Linked DNA regions of Sus scrofa. The protein of the gene in region 1 purifies or fractionates together with the protein of each later gene. This does not show direct contact. Links are inferred from orthologs where the notes say so. Each region holds a gene or a part of one and is shown on either strand. Other genes may lie near its edges. The genes, in order: RAB11A, EVI5 and WDR44.

Evidence for each region.
Region 2: the proteins of RAB11A (region 1) and EVI5 purify together in Homo sapiens (co-immunoprecipitation; 3 studies listed by BioGRID and IntAct, with this or other methods). This does not show direct contact. The link is inferred for Sus scrofa from reciprocal best matches to the Homo sapiens genes RAB11A and EVI5.
Region 3: the proteins of RAB11A (region 1) and WDR44 purify together in Homo sapiens (affinity purification with mass spectrometry; 3 studies listed by BioGRID and IntAct, counting the BioPlex papers as one, with this or other methods). This does not show direct contact. The link is inferred for Sus scrofa from reciprocal best matches to the Homo sapiens genes RAB11A and WDR44.

Annotation. Positions count from the first base shown.
Region 1 is NC_010443.5:163,855,799-163,861,968, reverse strand, and holds the start of RAB11A (ras-related protein Rab-11A), read right to left. Parts: upstream 3,716-6,170; coding exon 3,676-3,715; intron 1-3,675. UniProt on the Homo sapiens protein: The small GTPases Rab are key regulators of intracellular membrane trafficking, from the formation of transport vesicles to their fusion with membranes.
Region 2 is NC_010446.5:124,477,750-124,483,231, forward strand, and holds part of EVI5 (ecotropic viral integration site 5 protein homolog), read left to right. Parts: intron 1-994; coding exon 995-1,084; intron 1,085-1,183; coding exon 1,184-1,281; intron 1,282-5,482. UniProt on the Homo sapiens protein: Functions as a regulator of cell cycle progression by stabilizing the FBXO5 protein and promoting cyclin-A accumulation during interphase. May play a role in cytokinesis.
Region 3 is NC_010461.5:97,019,126-97,024,607, reverse strand, and holds part of WDR44 (WD repeat-containing protein 44), read right to left. Parts: intron 5,408-5,482; coding exon 5,216-5,407; intron 5,020-5,215; coding exon 4,918-5,019; intron 4,703-4,917; coding exon 4,587-4,702; intron 3,443-4,586; coding exon 3,315-3,442; intron 2,938-3,314; coding exon 2,803-2,937; intron 1-2,802. UniProt on the Homo sapiens protein: Downstream effector for Rab11 which regulates Rab11 intracellular membrane trafficking functions such as endocytic recycling, intracellular ciliogenesis and protein export.

The DNA.
Region 1 (6,170 bases):
ACATATGTGAGTGAGTGTGTGTAAGCATTAAATAACAGCACCTATATATAAAAAACATTTATAGCATTTCTAAATCTGGTAATATTCATTACCACTTGGTTAACTTCATCTGCTGAATCTTAAGTACCATCTCTAATACCTCATACTAAATTTGGTTTTTTATACATCAAATATTAGACTGCTAAACAGAATATACATATCAATTGACCATTATTTAATAAAAACTTTCAACTCTTCAACCATATTTAGTTTTATACACTATCTTACAAACTAATGTCCTGGACTAAAATTTAATTCCACAAATCAATCACAGAATCTCAGAATTAAAAGTTATCACCTGAAGGAGTAACTGATGATTTTCATACTAGTTTTTATAAACAAACTTGGAGATCCTTCTACTCTTTCAACTATATTCATAGTCCAACCTCACCAAGAGTCTTTAAAATAAAACACACTCAATAAGGCTGAAATCTAGAGAAGTTTTTCCAGACTCAGCAGAACCCAAATTGCTCAACCAAAAGTTGTGAAAGAAAAACTATCAAGACACAAGATAACAAAGTTCCTATGATCAGTTCCACTGACAATCAAATGAGGTTAATTACTACTGACCTTCAATGAGATTGAAAAGAAAATGGTGTAGACTACTAATCTACATATTTTCAGAAAATGTGACTCTGGATTGGTGTCTACCACAATATTTGTAAACTGGAACTTGATTCGTGTTTCACTTATGTGTCCTGCAGGGCCTTAACCACACTGTATGTAAATATTTGTGGAATTAAAGTTTTTAAAACAAAAAGTCAAGTTTTAAAAAATAAAATAAATTCCCACCATCACCAAAAATCTCACTGTTGAGCTAACTAAAGATTAATATTTGAGAACAAATACATAATTTAGAATAATCCTGCTGGCTCCACATTACATTCCCATTTGGACCACTCCATCCTATACCAATTCAAATATCCCTTCATTTTCAATTGGTTAGAGTTACCAACTAACTTCCAATTCCTTCAACTATTAAGTTTGCTAGGTAAGCCTTCGTCCAAGTATGCAGCTGCAGCATCTCAGACAACAAATCTATGTAGAAGGAAACCATTTTAAAATGAAATTATTGTTGCTTCACTTTAAATTATAATTTTATAAATAAGAAATGGGTTAAATAATCATCACAAGTTAAAAAGTGACTCATATCCTGTAAGAGCTTTAAAAAAGTGGAAATTTTTCTCAGCGCAATTTTTAAAACACCCCATCAAACAGCAAAACATGTAACAAATGAAACCATAACCCATGGAAACAATATTATTTTTTAGAAGATCCCACCTGGTTTTAGGTTTTTTACTAATACTCTCATATTTATAGGTTTAAAGTTTAAAAAAAAAAAACTGACAAGAACCACAGTAACTTCTTTCACATTATTACCATATTTGAGTCCTCACAGAAGCTAACATTTTACAACCTATCTCATTTAATTCTCACACCAGCCCTGAGAGGTATTATTTCTTTTTTATAGATGAGGGAAGAGAGGCTCAAACAAGTCAACTTTCCCAAGGTCACAAAACAAATTTAAGACCTGAGTCAGTATTTGAATCCAGGCCTGGATGATTCCAAAGTGCTGTGCTCTCTCAATCATTGCTTGTAGGATGGTCTAAACCCAAAGCTAAGTTAAAAATCCCCTAAGCCAATCAAGGATAATTAGTGAACTTAGTGAAAAAAATAACTGGCTTCTATAACCAACATCCAAGTTCTAAACCAAACAGGAGAAATATTCTGATAGTTTATCTTGCTCTAAATTAATTACTTCAAAGCTAGCTAGCTAGCTGCCCGCTGTTCTTGTACCTTATTTAAAAAAAACAAATCTCCCTTTAATGACTAACACCGGTCTTCAGAGTCTCACTAAATATTTTCACCAGACCTCAGATGCCTTTAACCAATAGCATACAAATGAATCCATGTTCCCTTTCTGTATCTGTAAAAATGACTTTCCACTATGTGGGAGGTGGGGGTAGGAGTGCATAGTGAAGGTACTCACCCTATATAAAACTTGAGAAGACTAAGTGCTTATAAAGGTATATCATCAGCTATAATGCCAAGATTCGCAAAGTACTGGTAAAGCAATGTTTCTCGCTTTGTTTAGTCAACCATTCTCAGCACCCAGTGGCAAAGTCAGACACAGTCACCAAGCTTAACATTCTTTTTTAACTCCACCCTCCACTGTAAAGCTTTAATAGCAATGGCTTCTTCCTCCCTGGTAATGATCTTTGTTCAGCATACTACTGATGGCTGCCCTCCTAATTCAGGAGCAGAGAAAGAGCATCAGAGAGAGCGCATTCACTGAACAAAAAAAGCATTTACTGTACTTTTCTCTCTGAAAACTGTACCTTTTATCTTTGTTGATTAAAAAAAAAAACAAACTATTTGGATTCTTTCTGGACTAGCCAATAAGCAATTTTTCTTCACTCCACCCTCCAATGTTTTGTCCAAGGGCACTACATGTTTCCCTATCTTATAAAAAATATTTAATTTGACCAAAGAGCACACAACTTCGCCATGCGCCCCCCTCCCAACTCCCATATTTTGGCAAAGGTATGTGACCAACTAGGACTCTTCCCTTCCTGTTCTAAAAACACCAAAAGGTTGGATCCTCCCAGTGTTGCAGCAGGAAGCAACCAGTCCATAGCGATAAAGCAAGCTAGTATTTGTGCAGCGCACAACCTTTCCTGCTCAGGAACTGGGCCTTCAGGTCTGGCAAGGATAACAGCCGCCACCCATCCGCAACCCCTTGTCGGGAGCAGTGTTAAGAGTTATCCTGGGCTGGTTGCCGCTGGGTAGGGAGGGTAGGAGAAAAAAAGGATGGGTGCAAGTCACATCGGTCTGCCGGTCACTGCGACAAGTACGCGCGTGGGTGATGGGACCATCCCTCTTGCCCTAACCCCCACCACCACCACCACCACCCTCAGGGTCGCACAGGAGACACGGGAGAGCTCCTAAACTAAACTATGTGGGGAGAGGAGGCAGAAAAAGAGTTACCAACCACGGGGGCTGTGCGCGAAGGTTACGGACCTCGAGAGCTGTGGGGCGGGTGGGGGTGGGGCCGCTGGCCCGTTTGGGTTTTAACCAGGGCCTGGCCAAGGAGATGGGAGAACCGGACTAGGAGAGGCGTCTGGCCGTGGGGAGGGGCGTGAGGAGACGCAGAGGAGAGGCTTGCCCAAGGGGAAAGGGAGGTTGATAAGAAAAAGACCTGTAGTGGAAGTGTGCGCCGAAGGAAAGGTGTGGGAGCAAAGAGAAAGGCCTGTCAGAGGGGCTCGGGATGTCTGCTGAGGGGGCGCCCAACCCGAAAAGATGGAAGGTGGGAGGGGCTCCCCTTTGAAGAGGCCGTGGAACCCGGGAAATAAGGAAGGCGATGTGGGAGAAGGCAGTCAGCAGCGAGAAGGGGGCACGGTAGGGACGCTGAGGCTTCCTAAGGCCTCCGGGGAGGTCGCTAAGAGCCAGTGTGGAGCCTAAGTGAGGGGGAAAAAAAGGGACTGAGCTGCGAGACGGCAAAACGAACCGCACTGAGAGGAAGGGCTGAGGAAGGCCAATCTCAGAGCCGGGGCAGCCCGCCGGGCGGGTCCCCCGGGAGTGTCCCAGGCCCCCGAACCGGGACTCGGGGGCCTGTCCGAGAGCCCACAGCCTCACCTTTGAAGAGGTAGTCGTACTCGTCGTCGCGGGTGCCCATGGCCAGGCGGAGGAGCGAAGGGGCGGGAGCAGTAGAGAGACCGGTGGGACCAGGGGGCGTCGCTGCAGGGGTAACCCAAGCGCCGAGCTTCAGCTGCCGGACCGGGTGAAGAACCCCTCCCTGCCGCTACGCCACTTCCGGCAGGCCCCAGCCCCTAAGGGGAAGTACTTCCGGGGAGGCAGTACTCCGCCCCTGAATCCAAGAAGGCGGTAGGCGTGAACCTCGTGGGTCTCAAGTTCTGAGCCACTCCAGAAGGTTCCGAGGAGCTACTGAGCCCCGGCCTGTCGACTGACCGCACTCCCAGCTGCTGCTCACCACACTTCCTGGTCTCCTTTATTCCGCGGGCCGCCAGGCGGAGAAGCCGGGCGCTGGAGAGCACTGCAACACTGATTCCTTTGGTGGAACTGTGGATGGGGGCGGGGTTATCTAAGGATTAGAGAGCCGAAGGCGGCCTCTTGAGCGTGTCGGTTCCATGGTGTAATGGTTAGCACTCTGGACTCTGAATCCAGCGATCCGAGTTCAAATCTCGGTGGAACCTAGGACACTTTTTCCTAGCTATGTTTTTATAATTCATTTACTTATTCACTAGGTGATCGAGGTACAACCATGGTATATCTGTCCTTGAACTAAGTAGAGAGGAAATGACACATGTCTTTGCCTGGGAAAACTTCATATAGTTCCCTCTTAAGTTCTGTGCTGTCACCTAGGTGCTTTCTAAGTAGCCTCTGCGCTTCATTTTTTTAAAATGGGCCTTTGGACTTAAACCTGAATTCCAAAGCTTCCGTGACACCTGATTCCTTTTGCTAGAATCAGAATTCCTTTTGCTAGAATTCCATTTCTCCAGGAATTTCTCAAACCATCTCCAGATGTCATTCAAAGAACCTCGCCCACCCTCCTCCTCAAAATTCATCAAGAACTTCTTGCACCCTATTTGTCATCCCCTAAGCTAAACCTAGTTACATAATTATTTCATTTAACACACAGAGCAAAGGATGGCAATTAACATTTTAGCGGAAATGTGGATGGGGAGCCTCAAGAGATTACCGAAGACCACACAGCAGTACCTCCCTGTATTTTAAGAGAGTTTGTTAGGCTAAAAAGTTTTTCCCCTTTATTGTCAAACCCCACTACCACCTATATGCAATTTAGACTTTGGGGCAAGGGTACCTGTAGTAAGCTGAATAATGGTGCCCCAAAGATGTTCACTTCTCAGTCCCAAGGAACTGTGAATATGTTAGGTTACATGGCAAAGGGGAATTGCGTTCGCAGATGGACTTAAGGTTGCAAATCAACTGACTATAAAATAGGGAGATTATAAAAATCATTAATAAATACATATTAAAAGAAATAAAATAGGGAGATTAGCATGGATTCTTCAGGTGCGCCAAATGTCCTCTCGAGTGTTCTTAAAAGTAGGGTAGACAGAGGAGGTCAGTGATGTCATGTGAGAAGGCCTCAACCAGCCCATGTGGCTTTGAACATGGAGAAAGGGGGCCAGGAGCCTAGGAACATAGAAGCTTATTATAGAAGATGGAAAAGGCAAGGAAATTGATTCTTCCCTAAGGCCCCCCAGAAAAGAACACAGCCCTGCTGACATCTTGATTTTAGCCCAGTGAGACTCATGTCAGACTTTTGACCTACAGAATTACAAAATAATAAATGTGTGTTGCTTTAAGTCGCTAAGTTTGTGGTAATTTGTTTCAGCAGCAATAGAAAACTAATACAGTGCCATTTTCGATGCTTTCTGTGACAGTATAAAGCAACAGAAGGTTTACCTAAGGCCTAGATACTGCCTTGAGCATTATCCATGTTAGAGGAGAACAAAATTACTCAAACAGCTAAACATTATGTGTACTACAGATCACTTATGACACTCCTAGCACAACTCAGGTAGATAGTCAGGATGGATGCAAGAAAAGGGGGAGTATCAGTTACCAGACAGGCCTGAAGGAGAGTTCTGGCAACATGCCACAGTTCAGAGGGGCTGAGATAATTAGGAAGAACTCCCTGGAAGAAGAGGAACTAGCATTGACCCCTGAAGAAAGTAAGGAAACTTATGTGGGGAAATGGAGGAAATTAGATGATAAGAGCATGTTGAGCAAGGCCATTCATGCTCGAGGAAGAATTATGAACTTTTTCCCTTAAGTCATTGTTTCTCAATGGTGTGTCCTGAGAAGGTCAATAGTATTCCTCAAAAGAAGGAACTGCATGTTTCAATAAATTGAGAAGCACTGTACATGGTTTTCCCTACCTTAGAAGGTCCCCTAGCACACTGGTATTTTAAAGTCTAAATATGCCACTCTGAAGACAAAAAATTTTAACTGTGCTGAACTTAGCACTTCCTAGATTCACCTGTGAACAAAAAAAGAGCAAAGACTATTGTTCACCATCCAGTGATATAAGGGTTAAATCACAACCTATTGCAGTTACCTACCCTGACCTCTTAGGAGCAGTT
Region 2 (5,482 bases), on another chromosome or scaffold:
ATTTGTCTTCTGTATTCTGAGTGAGAAGGTAGGAAGGTCAGGATAGATGGTAGAGAGCACCTGAGTTTTTTCTTTCTTTCTTTTTTTCTTTTGCTTTTTAGGGCTGCACCTGCAACACATGGAAGTTCCCAGCCTAGGGGTCAAATCAGAGCTGCAGCTGCCTGCCTACGCCGCAGCCACAGCAATGCCAGATCCAATCTGTGTCTGTGACCTACACCACAGCTCACAGCAATGCCAGATCCTTAACCTACTGAGCGAGACCAGAGATCGAACCTGCGTCCTCATGGATACTAGTCGGGTTCTTAACCCTCTGAGTCACAGTGGGACATCCCAGCGCCTGAAGATATTATTAGTTACTATGAATTACGTTTTGGGAAAATCAGTTTGTATAATAAGCCACATTAGGTTAGTCTGGGGCTGGCACACTGTGCTTCATGTACTGATCTGTCCCGGTGCACATGCCAAATCTATCTTTCCACTTGTCTTTGCTTTTTATAGCCACACTTGTTACATATGAAAGTTCTTGGGCTAGGGGAGCTGCAGTTGCCAGCCTATGCCACATCCACAGCAATGCTGGATCTGAGCCACATCTGTGACCTATGCTGCAGCTTGTGGCAGTGCAGGATCCTTAACCCACTGAGCGAGGCCAGGGGATGAACCCACACCCCCATGGATACTAGTTGGGTTCTTAACCCGCTGAGCCACAATGGGAACTCCATGTCCTTCCACTTGAATAGTTTCCTGGAATATAGCCGTGACCACTGCTGATGTGATAGTTGTGTCTGCTTTGGAGCAGCAGGATAGCAGAGCTGAGTTGTGGCAGCGACCACATGGCTCATAAATCTTAAAACGTTTGTGGTTCATCTCTTTACCGAAAGTGTTTCCCAGCCTCTAGTTTAGCTACCTAAATGTTCACCTTACTATTCCTTTGAATGATTGTTTTTTTCTGTGGAAAAGTAAGACAATTTTGACTTTATACCATTTGTTTCCTCAGGGTTTAGAAATAGTGTTTCGGGTAGGATTGGCGCTTCTTCAGATGAACCAGGCAGAACTGATGCAGCTCGACATGGAAGGGATGTTACAGGTAAGTCGGGTCCTGACGTCTTAACAGTCTTTAGATTTTACTATTAAATGATGCTGAATAGCACTAAGCAGTTCTTCTGTGTTTCTCTCACTGTGTCAGCACTTTCAGAAGGTCATTCCGCATCAGTTTGATGGTGGCCCAGACAAGTTAATCCAGGCAGCTTACCAAGTCAAATATAACTCAAAAAAAATGAAAAAGTGAGTATTTTCTGTTCTGATTTTTGGTTGTGGTGGTTTGTTGGTGCATTTAGGAAATTAAGTAGAAGCGGCCAGACATTCTCCTGGTGAGGGCAGTTTTCCTCCGCACTTGGGGGACCTGTGGGGTTTTCTTTGGTGGCACTGGTTTCAGGAGAACGTAGATTTAAAGAGTTGCACAGTGCCCTAGGGGCGCACGGCGCGGTACGTTCCAGAATCCCCTTTCCTGTCCCACACGGGCAGGCCTGGGAACCCGGCGTGTGTGTTGTTTTAGAGACGCTTTGACGCTGTGGTCTCAGGCACAGACTTTCTTTTCCTCGCCGTTGGTCCCAGTGTGTCACGTAAGTTCAAGATGAGCATAACCAGCACTTTAGGTGTGAGGTAGGCATTAAGTTAAAATTGTATTTATTATGTATTGCTTTTAATGAAACTTTGTTGTATATTTTTTCGTGAAAGTTCAAGATATGCAGCCTTGGCTTACAATGGTTAATTTTTGAAATGCGGTAAAGGTGTTAAGAATGACAGCTCTTACTCATCGAGCTTCCGGTGATTAGATCAATCTTAGCCTGAGGTCAAAATTCGCATTCCTGACGCTTACTAAAGTGGCAGAGCTGGCCCCACCATTCTCGGTGTCTTTGCTGCTGCAGCATGAAGTTACATGACATGAGCATGTACACTATACTGCCATGGGTATTCCTACCCCAGAGGTGGGTTAGAACATGAGTAAGAATTACGTCGTTAAAATTAGTTAGCTCTAATTTGCAAAAACAGCCAATTTTTGATCTTGAACTATTATGAATTACCTGTGAAATTGCTAATAACCAATCACATTACACCATCATTTAGAGATGTTATAGACTGTTCTGTTCTGTAATCGATAAAACCTTAGGAGCCATCTCAATTTCTGCCTCTTGACTTTACTTAAAAATACTTAATTGCTAAAAAATGCTGACCATCATCTGGGCCTTCAGAAAGTCGTGATCTTTTTACAGCAGTGCCATCCAAGATAAGAGATCACCAGAGCAAACATGCTTCTCTTTTTTCTCCTCCTTTCTCTTGCAGTCTCTACTTCTTACTGCCTTGACTACTGCTTAGTGGTTAGTAGCTGTTTATGCATAGTCTGGCGAGTAATACTTGATCAGTATTAAAGAATATTAAAAGTGTATGAGTCTCATCCTTTTCTCCTAAGTACTGCTCTCAGGATGTGTGACGACCTCAGACTTGGACCTGGCTCTGGAGAAGGTTCAAGCTTCCTGTAGGTAGGAGGGTGGCAGAACAGAGAATTAAATCGCTTAGTACAATTACAGCCTGGTAGTTGTCCTTGTAGCAGGTTGTTAGTATAACATGTAAGAGATGTCTGTAAGCTGCGTACACAGTCTAGTCTGCTGTGACTCAGGAAAATGTTCAGAGCCTGGTGACTAGATTTTCAGTTCCGTCTGTGTTCTTTCCTGACTCTTATCTGCCTGATGACATTCCTGTGTTAGAGGTGTCTTTACTGAGTTCAAGCTCATAATGCTTGCTGCATGTCGGGCCAGTAAATGCAGAGATAAGATGTTGGGACAAGAAATAGCAGCTTTATTCAGCAGACCAAGTCGGTGGTGGCCTAGTGTCCCAGTGACTGTCTTAGCCAGGTCAGAATTTAGGCCCCTTTTATTTTTATTTATTTATTTATTTATTTTGTCTTTTTTTTTTTGCTATTTCTTGGGCCACTCCCGCGGCATATGGAGGTTCCCAGGCTAGGGGTCGAATCGGAGCTGTAGCCACCGGCCTACGCCAGGGCCACAGCAACGCGGGATCTGAGCTGCGTCTGCAACCTACACCACAGCTCACGGCAACACCGGATCGTTAACCCACTGAGCAAGGGCAGGGACCGAACCCACCACCTCATGGTTCCTAGTCAGATTCGTTAACCACTGCGCCACGACGGGAACTCCTAGGCCCCATTTATACTAGATGTGGCCAGAATGTGGCCGGTCATTGCAAACTTGTTGGTGCTGGAATCCTTTGTTCTTGCAGCTGGCTTATGTCCTCTAGTCACAGTGTTCCTATAAACTTCCAGCAGACCCATGTTATTCTCTGTTCTGCAACTTTTTTCCCTGTGTGAATGGAAAAGTGTTAGACCCTTAAAGGGCAGAGTCTTGAGATTTCAGAGTCTTTTGCTCCAGAAGGAGTGTCCCCTGAGAGAACAAAGCAAGAACAATCCAGTGAAGTAGCTTCTTATTTCATCCAGCTGACAAATGCTTGGCAAGGCTGGCTTATCTTGCTTATAGTTCGAATTGAAAAGTTGAATGGTGATCATGGGGTCAAGCATTAACATATAAAGTTTTAGTGAAAAAATTGGAAGCATGTATAAATTACCTCCTTTACAAGTATATGCACGTCTGTAACAATTTTTTTTTTAGATGCCTTTGTAGTATATAAGGAGTTGGAGTTGCCTGCTGGCTAAGCGGGTTAAGGATCTGGTGTTGTCACTGCCATGGCTTGGGTGACTGCTGTGGCACAGGTTTTATCCCTAGCCCAGGAACTTCCACATGCTGTGAGTGTGGCCAAAAAAAAGAATGAAGTATATAAGGGGCAACATTCTTTTAGCAAGTACCTGAGGAAAAAAAATTGAAGACCATTAACTTGGTTGGATAGGAAAATGGCAGAAGTTGGAGATTGAGGTTGTTTCTGAAGATGGCTCCAGAATACAATCATTATTATTATTATTATTATTATTATTTGTCTTTTTAGGACCACACCCGCAGCATATGGAGGTTCCCAGGCTAGGGGTAGAATCGGAGCTGTAGCTGCTGGCCTACACCAGAGCCACAGCAATGCAGGATCTGAGCCACGGCTGTTATCTACACCACAGCTCATGGCAACGCTGGATCCTTAACCAGTTATTTTGTAGAAAGTGCCATAGTTTGGGTTTTTCTAACATTTCCTCGTTATTAGATTCAGGTTGCTCATTTTTGGCAGGTGTACCAGTAATGCTGTGTCTTCTCAGTTCACCGTACAGTAGGTGTACCGTACTGGCTTGTCTCAAAATTGATGTCAGCTTTGATTACTTGGTTAAGGTGATGTCTCCAGGTTTCACAACTATTAATTTATTATTTTTCTTTTTTTACTAAGTAATTTGTGCCAAGGTGCTTCGCTCCCCAGATTTACATCTGTTATGATGCTCTCACTCGCTCTTTTCTTTCTTATTAATTGGCATTCTTCTATAAGGAAGCCGTTTCCCTTCTTACTAGTTTGTTTGCTTACTTCAGTGTGAATCCAGTGACTCACTTTTGTGGTGAATTATAACCCATTACTCTCAAATTGTCCCTGTAGTGTCCAGTGGGAGTGCTTTCGGGCTGGCTGCTCTGTGCTTTTGGCAAGCCCCCAGGATTCCTCGAAACTTCCCTTACTTTTAGGGCAGCAAAGTATTTCCGACTCATCTTGAACCTTACCGTCTTCTCCTTAGGAGTGAGATGTTTCTCTCAAGAGCTCTTGGTGAAGGCAGAATGAAGTAGCCTTGCAGAAACCTGATGCACCTCAGCCAGGTGATCAGGTCGGCCTCGGCCGTGCTGTCCTGCTGATAGTGTATACCCGTGGTCTTCCTCCCCTAAAAAACCCATAATGCCGCTATAATCAGCGAAGCATGAGACAAATCCCAGTCGAGGGACAGTCTACAAAATACCTAATGACCAGCACTCTTCAGACTATCAGGGAAATAAACACTCGTGAGGTCTGAGAAATTGTCCTGGCCAAGGGACCTAAGAAGACACGACAGCTCAGTGTGACGTGGTGTCCTGGATGGGATCCTCGAACAGAAAATGGACATTAGACAAAAATTTAGGCAATCCGAGTAAACTATGGCCCTCACTTGTTCATAATGTATTAATAATGGTGGCTCACCGGTTGTCTTAAAGTTGCTGCACTGATGGAAGAGGTAAGCATGGCGGAAACTGGGGGTGGGGTGTGTAGACACTCAGTACTCTTCTAATTATTTTGCAAACCCAAAACTGTTCTAAATAATACAGTTTAAAAAAAACTATCAGTGCAGATTCTGAAAAAGTAATAATGATTTAGATCATTGTTGAGGAGGTTGAATAGAACATGCTTGTTGGCTGAACTGAGAGGCAAGGATTAAATGGTAACTCTTAAGAGTTTTGTTTGAGGTTTGTGACTGAGCAATGATTTGTTTGAGGTTTGCGACTGAGTGATGATGACATTTTTC
Region 3 (5,482 bases), on another chromosome or scaffold:
CCTCTTTCCCAGCTTGCTCCTGTAATCCTTTCATCCTCCTATACCTCTCCTCTCTGAGGCTCACTGCCACTTACCTTGTCTTAGCTGGTCTCTTCCTGGCATAGGGAGACTACAGTCCCTTGGAGCCTGGATGTCTAGATTCACTTGCAGGCAGCCAAGGCCTCCTAAATTGTCTAATTTCCTCATTTCAAGACAAGAGGCTAGCTTGTTATTCAGCCCCAGGATTGGAGTGTTGACAGGATGGATTCAGCTGGGCAAGTCTTCTCTTAACAGGGTTCACTAATGAGGTTAGCAATAAGGTTACTGCACAGCGGACATACTGAAACTGCCAGGAAATGAAGTACACACGATTGCTCTGTGAATGCTGACAGCACCTTTCACCTTTCCAGTCCACATACTGAAGAGCCCTGTAGCTACGAAGGGCAAAAATGCTTACCTCTTACATTTGCTGGTAACAGCATTTAATGAACAAAATTCAGTGTTAACTATTATGCATAGGCAAAAACTGTAGATTTAAGGACTGATAAGTAAGGAAGAAAATAGTCCAAACTTTAACTGGAGAGTTGTATACAGGATGAGTTAGACAAAATGGTTTCTCTTAGATTTGCTAAAAAACATATCCTAAGCCTCTGAACATTCCTAAGTACCCTTTCTGTATATCTCAAAGCAGTGCTAAGGAACAGCAGCAGCAGCAAAAAACTGAGGGATATCAGAAAGAAAATAATTTGTCACATATATATAAAAATGCTTTCTAAGATACAATAATAAGAAAGGTGTCTATTAATGTCAGGCATTTTGCTACGTACTTTACATATGTTATCTTTAATTCTTATCACTTCTTTGTGTTTTCAGCTGTATCTTCTTTAAATTAAAATTTTTTTATTTTTGGTTTTTAAGGGCTGCACCTGCAGCATATGGAGGTTCCCAGGCTAGGGGTCAAATTGGAGCTAGAGTTGCCAGCCTACACCACAACTCACAGCAATGCCAGATCCTTAACCCACTGAGCAAGGCCAGGGATCGAACCTGTGTCCTCATGGATGATAGTCAGATTTGTTAACTGCTGAGCCATGACAGGAACTCCTGTATCTTTTTTTTAAATTGAAGTGTAGTTGATTTACAATATTGTGTATAGCAGTTCAAACAGTTTCAGGTATACAGCAAAGTAATTTGGTTATACACATATATATGTATATATCTATATTTTTAATTTTTTTCCATTATAGTTTATTATAAGATATTGAATATAGTTCCCTGTGCTATAGTAAATTCTGTTGCTTACCTATTTCATATCATACTGCGCATCTGTTAATCCCATACTCGCAATTTCCCCTTCCCACTTCCCCTTTGGCAACCATAAGTTAATTTTCTACGTCTGTAAATTTGTTTGTCTTGTAAGTTCACTTGTACTATTTTTTAGATTCTACATATGTGATCTCGTATGATATTTGTCTTTCTCTGAACTTACTTCACTTAGTATGATAATCACTAGGTCCACCTATGTTTCTGTAAATGCATTATTTCATTTTTTATGGCTGAGTAATGTTCTAGTGTGTGTGTGTGTGTGTGTGTGTGTGTGTGTGTGTGTGTATCAGTGCATGTGCATGTATCTTTTTGAATTATAGTTTTGTCTGGATATATGGCCAGGAGTAGGCTTGCTGGATCATATGGCAGTTCTACATTTAGTTTTCTGAGGAAAATACTTTGAGAAACATCCTTTGTGCACTGTATCGTTGTTGTGGCTTTATTAACTCTTTGCAAGGCTTGGTTTAGTCTCTAAAGTGAGAAAACATATTTAATAAACTATTTGGCAGTTGATTTTATTAATACAAACTTGTTTTCATTGGTAACTGGTCCAAAGTTACATGGTTTTACCTTACTCTTAAGAATTAACAGGGACAGTTTTTTTTTATATAATTGGCACTCAATATCACTTGAGGGTTTCTTTTCACTTCCTAATCTGAGCATTTTACATAACTGGAAGTACTATTCATTCTCAAAGAATATGCTGTAGGGAGTTCCTGTCGTGACTCAGTGGTTAACGAATCTGACTAGGAACCATGAGGTTGCGGGTGCAATCCCTGGCCTCACTCAGTGGGTTAAGGATCCAGCATTACCGTGAGCTGTGGTGTAGGTCGCAGACGTGGCTCGGATTCCCGTGTTGCTGTGGCTCTGGCCTAGGCCGGCAGCTACAGCTCCAATTAGACCCCTAGCCTGGGAACCTCCATGTGCCATGCGTGTAGCCCTAGAAAAGACACACACACAAAAAAAGCATATGCTGCAAAGGGCAAGAAATTACAGGCTTGTAAATAGCTATCTATGAGAAGCTGTAAATTTGTGGCAAGTAGAACAGAACACTGCTTTCATTTTGGTTTAATTCACTTATTTAGCAAATGTTTATATAGCATCGACTATATGCAGACAAGCACTGTGCTAGGCACTGGTAGTATGACAACAAATAAAACACATACAGATTATAGTGTAGTAGAAGAGACAGACAATAAATTTTGTATATGTTTAAGTCTTGTTTGCAATTCTCAGAGAGAACAGTTATCCATTAAAAAAAATGACAAACTTTAAAAATTTTCATTCTTCAATTCCCAGGTGAATTTAAAAGAAGTAGAACTTGTAAGAACTATGTTACTGAAATGTTCATAAATGCACATCTGACAACCATTATGTTACAAACAAGAAATATTCTTCATACTCATGAAAACTTCTTCATATTCATGAATACCCATAGGTCAATGAAGCTACTAAATGCTAATAGAAAAAATGTAGGAGAAATAAAATGTGAGTACCTACCAGAGGGCATGGTATCTAAAACCTCAGCATCTTCACCTTTATCATTCCCTTCTGATTTTTCAGATTGCATATCCAAAGACAACATTAAACTTGGGTTTGGAGCAAAGATGGCTGATGTGACAACTGCATTATGGGCTGGGAAAAAAATTTACTTCAGGATAACTAATAAATTTGATTCTAAACATCAAGACAAAAATACATAAAAAATAATAGTGTACATTATATGCAAATATCTTTAAAAACATATAAGCAACTAAGAACTATCAAAAACCCAAAAATACTTCCCAAAAAACCCCAAACTACATATAAGTTCCGAGATTCCATGATGACTTCTCAAATTTTAGACAAGTTCCTCCTCAGTACGGAAAAACCAAACAAAACTAATACAAAGCAAAAGTAGTTAAATTGTCAAACTGTTTCTCTGAAATAATCCCTAAACAAATTTACTTACAGTACATCTCTATTTTAACTTTACTCACTTATAAGGCACACAAAAGTAGCCACTTACTTACCTTTAATACCTTCCCAAAAGTCATTACGATCCCTCCTGACTGAAGTAAACTTGCTTAGGTCATGGTAAGTACTCCAGATATAAACATACTTATCTTCTGAGCCACTAACGAGGTAACTAAAATCATGGCTAAATTTAGGGAAGAAAGAAAAAAAGTCAAATTGTAAGTTTTTTTAGGTTTCCCTCTATCAGAGCTTCCTGGCTTAAAACGCCTATGAAAACATCAAACAGAACTTGTTGAAATATAGACTCTTAGTCTCACTCCAGAGGTTTTGAATGTATAGGTTTGACATAGGGGGCCAGAGGCATTAGTATTTCCATCAAACCTCTAGGTAAATGCTGCTGGGTTAACACACACTGGCAGGAATGCCTACTTAACAGATAAAAGAGAGAACTGGAATATGTTACCAATTAAATTATTGGGTAATTTAAGAAGAAAAGATGGAGTTCCCCTCGTGGCGCAGTGGTTAGCGAATCCGATTGGGAACCATGGGGTTGCGGGTTCGATCCCTGCCCTTGCTCAGTGGGTTGGGGATCTGGCGTTGCCATGAGCTGTGGTGTAGGTCGCAGATGCGGCTCGGATCCCGCGTTGCTGTGGCTCTGGTGTAGGCCGGTGGCTACAGCTCCAATTGGACCCCTAGCCTGGGAACCTCCATATGCCGCCGGAGTGGCCCAAGAAATGGCAAAAAGACAACAACAACAACAACAACAACAACAAAAAAGAGAACTGGTAAGAAAAGGGCTGAAAGAGGGCTATAAAGGGAGAAGAGGTAGGTATTTCATTCAGGAGAGCCTGAAAATCCTAAATTAAGAATTCATATAACAAATATGTTAAGGTATAAACAGAGAATACTGTACTTTAGGGTGTCAAAATGCTTTATTAGCTTCTGTATCTAAAGGGATCAAGACCATGGATGCGGTGGGGGAAGGGAGTAAATTCCTTTTAGAAAGCTTACATAAAAGTACAAAAGCACAAATGCTGGAGCTGGGAGTCTTCTAAACCTGGCTCTGCAACTACCAGTGTAGTGTGACTTTAGGCAAATTACTTAATTTTCTCCATCTCAGTTTCTTCACTTGGAGAGTAGGGGCAATTCGAACTCTATCAAACAAGTGGCTACGCTAAGTACCGCATGACTGATAATATGAGATACCAGCTGTAAACATGCAAAGGAATTAACAATACCATATAAACATAAGGCATAGATCAACAGAAAAATGGGAGTAGGGGAGAAATGTTCTGATCTCCTTCCAGAATTTCTCATTGCCAACTTACCTGAAACTTGCTTTGATCTGGCTGCTGCTGTTGACATACCCCTTATACTTCATGGACAGTGACAAATCTCTAAGATCATATAGTCTGATTCTGGAGTCATTTGAGGTTACCAGTATCTAAAAACAAATGAAAGGAAAAGCTAAAAATACCATCTTTTAATCTGTGTTAAGGTATAACCAAAAAAGGGTATTACACACACAGAGAATATATCTCAAAACTAGAAAAGCAGTATTCCATAGAAAAGGAAATATATTCTTAGCCAAGATATAAAGAACTTACTTTCAGGAGTCTATATATAGTGTGAAGAGAGATGGTTTTGAATACTTAGTACCTTATTTTCTCCAGGTAAAGGCTCAATGCCAGTAATTTTTCTTCCGACCTTGTTACGCCCTCTGGTAGATCGGACATGTATTTGTGTGTGGTATTTCAAATGCTAAAAAGTCACAATTTAAAGAGATCAGAATTAGAAAGAACCTCAAAGATCATCTGAGCCAACTCACAGACAGACGTGGTATTATTTACTCCAGTTTACAGATAAGGCAGTTAAAGCCCAGAGAGGATACACCAACTTATTCCACACTGCAGAAGTGTTTTACTAAGTACGTAACTTATACAAGATATTCCTTTACCTCTGTATCATAGAAAATACACCTGCCATCATATGTTCCAATCACTGCATATTTGCCATTCTGACAGAAATTTGCAGCTGTGATCAATTTTGTTTGACCATCTACTTCATTCCACAAAGCCACTTTTTTGTCAGGTATGTTCCAAAGGCGGAGTTTTCCATCCAATGACCCACTTAGAAAATACCTGTCATCCTAAAATGTGACAAAAGAGAAAGCTTTCATTTTACCACATGAAGAAAAACTCATGAGCAAATCAATACACTGTCT